Linked DNA regions of Canis lupus familiaris. The protein of the gene in region 2 interacts with the protein of the main gene of each other region in a pairwise test. Links are inferred from orthologs where the notes say so. Each region holds a gene or a part of one and is shown on either strand. Other genes may lie near its edges. The genes, in order: NQO2 and LRRC7.

Evidence for each region.
Region 1: the proteins of LRRC7 (region 2) and NQO2 interact in a two-hybrid assay, tested with the Homo sapiens proteins (2 studies listed by BioGRID). The two-hybrid records come from large-scale screens. The link is inferred for Canis lupus familiaris from reciprocal best matches to the Homo sapiens genes LRRC7 and NQO2.

Annotation. Positions count from the first base shown.
Region 1 is NC_049256.1:4,586,972-4,590,774, reverse strand, and holds part of NQO2 (ribosyldihydronicotinamide dehydrogenase [quinone]), read right to left. Parts: intron 3,462-3,803; coding exon 3,297-3,461; intron 1-3,296. UniProt on the Homo sapiens protein: The enzyme apparently serves as a quinone reductase in connection with conjugation reactions of hydroquinones involved in detoxification pathways as well as in biosynthetic processes such as the vitamin K-dependent gamma-carboxylation of glutamate residues in prothrombin synthesis.
Region 2 is NC_049227.1:76,609,837-76,614,206, forward strand, and holds the start of LRRC7 (leucine-rich repeat-containing protein 7), read right to left. Parts: upstream 3,085-4,370; 5' UTR 2,980-3,084; coding exon 2,978-2,979; intron 1-2,977.

The DNA.
Region 1 (3,803 bases), on a different chromosome or scaffold from region 2:
AGATTTTATTTATTTATTCACAGAGACGCAGAGAGAGAGAGAGAGAGAGAGAGAGGCAGAGACACAGGCAGAGGGAGAAGCAGGCTCCATGGAGGGAGCCCGACATGGGATTCGAGCCAGGATCTCCAGGATCATGCCCTGGGCTGCAGGCAGCACTAAACCGCTGCGCCACCGGGGCTGCCCTCTGTTGTTCATTAAGTGAAAATTGTTGATTGATTTATTAAAACAAAAGAAAGACACGAAGACATGGGATGTTAAGCTATTACTATCAATACTAAATATTAAATCTTCAGATAGCATTACTACAATTGCAAACAGAAGGAAATTAAAGGTATTAAATACTGGAAAAGCTGAGGCGAAATTGTCATTATTTGCAGATGATTTGGCTGCATTATCAGGAAAGCCCCAGAGAATCAGCTGAAATCTACTACGAACGGTGAGGAAATTAGTCATGGCTGGATACACACACATGCGCGAGCGCGCACACACACACACACATATGCACACAGGCAAACAGTAATCCTCTTGACTTAGAGAAACAAAACCAATTAACAAAAATCATGCAAGATCTGCATGAAGAAAACTTGTAAAGAGAGCTGCAGGGTTGTAAAAGAAGATGTGAGCAAATGAAAAGCCATACTATTCTCCTGGATAAGATCACTATAATAAAAATTCATCTGTAAATTTAATGGAATCTCAATAAAAATATCATCTGGTTACTTTTTGAATCTGGGAAGTTAATTCAAAAGATTTTATAGAAAAGTAAAGTAAAACTAGCTAGAAAAAATAGAAAATAAGGCAAACTAGGTGACCTAGTTCTATCAGATATTGTAGCATTTGCCAAAATAATTAGAGCCACGTGGTACTGAATCCATGAGCCAATAGGAAAAACAACAACAACAACAACAAAATACAAAGTATAGGACAGGATCAAATGTACCTGAGAATTTAAATCACAATGAAGGTGGCATTTTAAATGAGAAGCTGGATCATATAATAAATGGTGACGAGACAACTCAGTAGATGCTTAGAAAAAATACTGGAATCATACCTCACATCATATACCAAAATAAACTTTAAGTAGACAAAATATTTTTTTAAAATATTTTGAAATTTGTCATATTGAATATGTCAAAAACTAGGCAAAACTATCAATACTTTGAAATTTGTCATATTTGAAATAGGTCAAATACTAGGCAAAACTATCAAATTAAAAAAATCTTAGAATGTAGATAAGCGTGACACAAAATCTAGAAGTCATGGAAGAAAAAGACTGATCAAAAGCCAACTAGGTAAATAAAATCCTGCATGGAAAAAAAAACAAACAAACACCATAAGCAAAGTCAAAATAAAAGAAAACATAAATTTGGTAAAAATGTATTCACAATTCATACCCCACACTAGAAACTAACTTTTTAATATAGAAAGAGCTCTTTAAAACCAGTAAGAGATAGAAGAGAAGAATAAACAAGGGATATACACAGACAATTCCCAGGAAAGAAAATATTAAATATTTTATTAAAATACTAATATAAATATTTATAAGTATAATACAAAATATTAATATAAATGAAAAGCTAAAAGCATTTAGCTTTTCAAAAAGAATACTTAAGAAAATGCCTTCAAAACATCATGTAAAAAATCCAGTCAAGAAACGGGCAGAAGACATGAACAGACATTTCTCCAACAACATCCAGGCGGCCAACAGACACATGAGAAAATGCTCCACATCACTGGGCATCAGGGAAATACAAATCAAAACCACAATGAGATCCCACCTCACACCAGGGAGAATGGCTAAAGTTAACAAGACAGGAAATAACAGACATTGGAAGAGAAAGGGGAACCCTCTCACCCTGTTGCTGGGAATGCAAGCTGGTGCAGCCACTCTGGAGAACAGTGTGGAGGTTCCTCAAAGAGTTAAAAATAGAGCTGCCCTACGTCCCAGCAATTGTGCAAGTGGTTATTTACCCCAAAGATACAGATATAATGATCCAAAGGGGCACCTGCACCCCAATGTTTATAGCAGCAATGTCCACAATACCCAAACTATTGCAAGAGCCCAGATGTCCATCAACAGATGACTGGATAAAGAAGATGTGGTGTAAGGAATATTACCCAGACATCAAAAAGAATGAAATCTTGCCATTTGCAACAATGCGGATGGAGCTAGAGAGTATTATGCTGAGTGAAAGAAGTCAGTCAGAGAAAGATACCATATGATAGCACTATGTAGAATTTAAGAAACAAAACAGATGAACATAAGGGAAGGGAAGGAAAAATAAAATAAGGTAAAAACAGAGAAGGAAACAAACCAGAAGAAGGAAACAGACTGAGGGTCGCTGGAGGGGAGGTAGGTGGGGGATGGGGTACCTGGGTGATGGGCATGAAGGAGGGCACGTGATGTAATGAGCACTGGGTGTTGTATGCAATCGATGGATCACTAAACTCTACCTCCGAAACTAGTAATCAAAAAAAAGAAAAAAACCCCAAAAAACCCCATTATGTCGTATACCTTAAATATATATAACTTTTGTCAATTATGTCTCAATGCAGCTGGAAAACAAAGAAAATGCGTCTTACATAAACACAAAGGCAGTATAGCTCTCTTACAATAAGAGGAAGGCAAATCAAAACTATCCTGGGAGACCAGTTTTCACTTGACAGTCTGGCAATGATCAAAAATCGGTAATGCAGAGGAAATGAGCACTTGCGAACATCGCTGGTGCCAAGTGTAAACTGGCACATTTACCATTTGATATTATCTATGAAAATCAAGAATGCACCTTCCCTCTGGCAGCAATTCCACCTCTAGGTGACATCTGTATACGTAGGAAAATGTGTGTGGCTATGATTCTTCCTTGCGGCGCTGTTTGTGACAGCAAAGATCAGGAATGCCCTGGAATGTCCGTCAGTAGGGGCCACCTCACCTAGGACACTTCCACAAAATGAATACTCTGATAGTAAAAACGGCTGCAATGTGCAAAACAACCTGTAAAGCCTGCTACCACTCTGAACAAACAAAGGGGACAGACGATGGATGGATATGCCCACAAATGCTTTGCACAGCACAGATGTCTCTGGAGGAACAGAGACAAGTGAGCACCCTGGTGACCTGGGGGGCAGACACTGGGTGGCTGGGGACAGGGATGCGAAAAAGACTTGCCATGTGGACTCGTTCTGCTTCAGAACTGGGTACTATGCACCATGGTTAGTTTTTTCAAAACATTTTTTTCCATGAAACACCTAGAAAGAAGAAAGTTAAAAAAACAAAAACTGTTCACCCCGTGACTCACCTATGACATCTTTCCTCGTGGCCCTCGGCTCAAAGTCCATGGCATACAGATCGGAAACGGTGATGGCGCAGCCCTGCCTGCTGAGCTCATCCACCGCCACTTTCTTCAAGGATCCATTGAAAGACTTGGGTTCTTGGTGTGCATAGACAATGAGGACTTTTTTGCCTGAATCAGAAAAGAAATGACTCTCTTAAAGAACAATTCCTCTTTGTCAAAATTCCACGAAGACTAAGGTAACAATGAAACATGTAGGCGCATCATAGGCTCAAGCTGAGAAACACCAACCTCTTTTATGGGTGATAGTTTTTAAAATAATGAATGTTTTCTAAAATCCAATTATAGCTCACCATCGCCTGGGTTTACTAATATACAAACATAAAATGAGTCAAATTATGATTCCTCAAAAATAACACCACGAATTTCCTTAAAAGCCCAAGCTATTGTGGGTCTTCCCCATCAGAGGTTTTTGCTCTGTGGACGAACACCAAAATTGAAAGTCACCACAAC
Region 2 (4,370 bases):
ATTCACTTGTATCTTCACATTAAAAAAAAAAAAATCCAAAGCAAAGAAAAATACAGACACACAAAAACTTTGGGTTTATGTTCTGTATTTTATGGAGGGCGCAGAAAAATTAAAGGCCTCCGGAAGAAAGTGGATTAAGATGTTAATTAAGAAAATTTTAATGCCAAGCCTGCAGCAGTGCTAAAATTCTGAATAAAACGTGGCTACGGTAACGGGACCGGGCTTATTTCTTTAAGGAGTCGTTTCTAATTCTGAAGCCGCATATGTGCAGGCACACGTGATGGAGGATGTAAGGGTTGCCATGGTAAGCACCCATCCTCTCTTGGACAGCGAAGTATAAAAAAATGTATAAAGAAGTCTCCCTCCACAATATGTCACGGGGATGGGCTGCGCTTCCCAGCGCCACGCAGACACGATGCAGGCCCGCCCCGGGCGAGACTTCAGCCCACGGGGGCGGCAAGTACAACACGGGCGGAAAAACGAAATCAGCGGCCTCCAGGTGGGGGGCCCCCAGATCGGGGCCTCCAGGTCAGGGGGGCGGGCATCCAGGTCAGGGCCTCCAGGTGGGGGCCTCCAGGTGGGGGCCACCACGTCGGGGACTCCAGGTGGGGGCCTCCAGGTGGGGACCTCCCAGTGAGGGCCTTCAAGTGGGGGCCACCACGGCGGGGACTCCAGGTCAGGACCTCCATGTGGGGGCCTCCAGGGGACCTCAAGGTGGGGAACCTCCCAGTGAGGGCCTCCAGGTGGGGGGCCTCCAGGTGGCAACCTCCAGGTGGGGAACCTCCCAGTGAGGGCCTCCAGGTGGGGGCCACCACGTCGGGGACTCCAGGTCAGGACCTCCATGTGGGGGCCTCCATGTGGGGGCCTCCAGGGGACCTCCAGGTGGGGAACCTCCCAGTAAGGGCCTCCAGGTGGGGAGCTTCCAGGTGGGGACCTCCAGGTGGGGACCTCCAAGTGAGGGCCTCCAGGTGGGGGGCCTCCAGGTGGCGACCTCCAGGTGGGGACCTCCAAGTGAGGGCCTCCAGGTGGGGAGCCTCCAGGTGGCAACCTCCAGGTGGGGAACCTCCCAGTGAGGGCCTCCAGGTGGGGGGCCACCACGTCGGAGACTCCAGGTCGGGGCCTCCAGGTCTGGTACCTCGACACACAGGTGGGCGGAGAACTAGGGCTACCCCCCCGCCCCCTCGTCTCCAGCCCGCCCCGGGCGCTGAAGGATGCGCCGAAGGATGCTCGGAAGCAGGGACGCGACCCCGACCCCCGTCTGCAGCCTTTGGCAGAGCGAGCCCGGGCGTCCCGGGCGGTGGGGGCAGGTGGCCGGGCGCGGCCGGCAGGTGGCGGAGCGCGCCGGGAGCCCACGTGCGCAGGGGCTGCAGAACTTTTCCGCCGCGTCCCCGGGAGGACCGCCTGGCTTCCACCGGGGCCCCGCGGGGGGGCAGCCCCTCCAGCCCCCCTGGGCCGCGGGCCCGAGCTGCGGGGGGCGGGCGCGGGGCTCAGCCCGGAACAAAGAGAGTCGGGCGCCCGGACCGGCCTCTCCCGTCGGGGCGATCACGTGTCCTGCCTCCGCCGGAATGCGCTCCCGCCGCCCACGCCACGGAAACCTCCACCGGGCTTGGAAGCGTCGCCAAGGTTAAAACGGGATCACGTAGAACCGCTCCCGGCCGCGGGTCCCCGGGTCGGGTCCGACCCAGTTCGCAGCGCAGGTGGCTCCCAGGTGCTCCCCGCGCGGAGGCAAAGTGGCCGCGGAGGGCAGGTGCGGGCCCTTGGGGGTCGCCGCCCCGCCCCCCGCCCCCGCCCGCGGCGTCTCTAACTCCTCGGGGAGGGGAACTTCCAGAGGCGCGTGGGAGTCGCAGGTGGCTGCGCTCCGAGGCCCATCGCGCATCCCGGGACTTGCGCGAGCGACCCGGTCCGTGCGCCGGGCGCTGCGCCCTCGGGACTCGGCGGGCGGAGCCGCCCCCCCCGCCCCCCGCCCCCCGCCCCGGGCCGAGGAGCAGCCGGAGGAGGCACCTGTGCGGCCGTCGCCCCTGCGAACTCGCGCTATGTTTCGCGGCAGCCCGTGCGCCCCCGGCCCCGGCCGCTCCCCGCAGGGGGGACCCCGCGCGCGGAGGCTGCAGACGAGCGCGAGCCGCTCCAGGAGCCCCAGGGCACCTCCTGCCCCCGCTGCCCCCCCCCCGGCCGCCGAGGATCCCCAACGAGTCCCGCATCCCTCGGGGCTCTCGGGGGACGAGATGCGGAGGGGGCCCAGCGTGGGTCCGGGCACCGCGCGGGGTCTCCAGCTCCGCCTTTGCAACACAAAGGAGGTGTGTGGGCAGGAGCTGCCCGGCTCCGGGGGCTGGGGGGGGGCACAGGCACCCCCACTGCCCGGGCTCCGTGGCTCCCCCGCTTCCTCGGCCCTCCAACCTGTCGCCCTCGTCGCCCCCTCCAGCCCCCTCCAACCCCACCCTTCCCCTCCAGTCCCAAAGGCAGCGAGATCCTCTTAATTGCCTTTCCCAAGCCAACGGGCATCCAACAGTAATACTACACCTGCCGAGATAAAGGGACATTTGCGACCTGCCACAAGTGTGCGTGGGGGGGGGGGGGGCACGGCCAAATGGGCGCTCCGTCCCTCGGGCACCTGCGAGGAGGCAGCACCTCGCCCGGATAACGGCGGGGGCTCGGCCCGGCCGGACCCGCGCTCCCCGCGCCCCCCGCGCCCCCCGCGCCCAGCCCTCGCTCCTCGCCTCCCCTTTTCGCAGTATGTAACCCTTTAGGGTCCCCGGCAGCCCGGGCCACCGGGGCTCCCAGGCGCCCGCACGGCCGGCGCCCGCGCCCAAGGCACCGCGCGCCCCGCAAGCGCGCAGCTCCCCGCCGCCTCCGCGGGCGCCCGGCCGGCAGCTCCCCGACAGCGCCCCGGGGCGCCCCAGCCCCGCACCTCGGGCGCTCGGCGTCCCCGCAGCCCCCCGCCCCCCCCCCCCGGGCCACGAAGCAGGAGCGCGCTACTCACATCGCCGGCGGGAGCCACTGCCCATGAGGTTGGCGAGAGCGAGTCGTGCCGCCGCCCGGGCTGGTTGCTGAGGGTGCTCGGGGTCCGCAGCGCCGCGGGCGCGGGGGCCTGGCGCGGGGGCCTGCGCGGGGGGCGCGGGCCGGCCGAGGCGCGGGGGCGCGTCACGCCATGGTGCCGGGGCCCTCCGGGCGCAGCGGGCAGGTCCGGGGAACGCGGCCGAGGGGAGCCCCGAGCGCCGGCGGGCGGGGAGGCTCGAGCGCCTCGGCTGCCCTGCCTCCGCCCGCCCTGCGCGCCGCGCGAGCGACCACGGCGGCGGCGGCGGCGGCGGCGCGGCTCCCTCCCCGCCCCCAGGAGCGCGGCGCACAATGAGCCGGGCCGGGCCGGGCTGGGCGGGCGGAGCGCCCCGGTGCGCAGCCTGCGGCCCCCGGGGAGCCCGGCGCTGGGGCGCTGCGGGGCGCTGCGGGGCGCTGCGGGGCGCTGCGGGGCGCGGGCGGCGGCAGGTGGCCCCGGCGCGCAGGTGCGGGGCTCGCGGGCGCGGAGGGCGGCGCGGGCCGCGGGCTGAGCCTCCGCTGCCCCCGCCCCCGCGCTCCTCGCCCGCCCCCTCTTCCGACGACACCCGCCGCAGCCGCCGCCGAGCGGGAGAGGCGTCAAGGAGAGCGCGGCCACCCGAGGGGGCGCCCCGGTCCTCCGCCCCCGGCCCGCGCCGCCGTCCTCGCCGGCCCCCGCGACCTGCCCGCGGGCTCCCCCGAAGCCTCGGGGCTCCGATGCGAGTCCGCCGGGGCCCCGACCCGCGCCCGCCCGCGCGCTCCGGCCCGAGCCGCCGCTGCGAGCGGGACAAAGGGCCGGGCCGTGCGGGCTCCTCCCGCCGCCCGCGGCGCGCGGGGCCGGTGCTCCGGGGGCGGGGGCGGGGGCGGGGTGGGGGTGGGGGCGGCCCGCGGCGCTCCGGCCCCCGCTGCTGCTCCCGCCGCCGGCCCGGGCCCCAGGGGCGCGGCGACCCGCGGCTGGGCGGATGCGCGGCTGCGCGGCTGCGGCGGCTCCGGGCCTCGGCGCCTCCCCGCGCGCCCCGGCTCCCGCGCCGGCTCCCGCTCCCGCTCCCGCGCCGGCTCCCGCTCCCGCCCCGGCTCGGTGACGCGGCGGCCGGGCGGCGGCTCCCGCTCGCTCCGCGCAGAGGCGGCCCCCAGCGCCGCCCGGGCTTCCCGCCCCCGCCCCCGCCCCCGCCCCCGCCCCCGCCCCCGCCGCGGGTGCCGGGCCGCCGAGGACGCGAGTGTCCTCCCTCGGAGCGGCCCCCCCGCGAGCCCCCCTGCGCCCCCCCCGCACCTACCCTGCAGCCCCCGCACCTGCCCTGCGCCCCCTGTGCCCCCCTGCACCTCCCTTGCAGCCCCTGCACCTCACC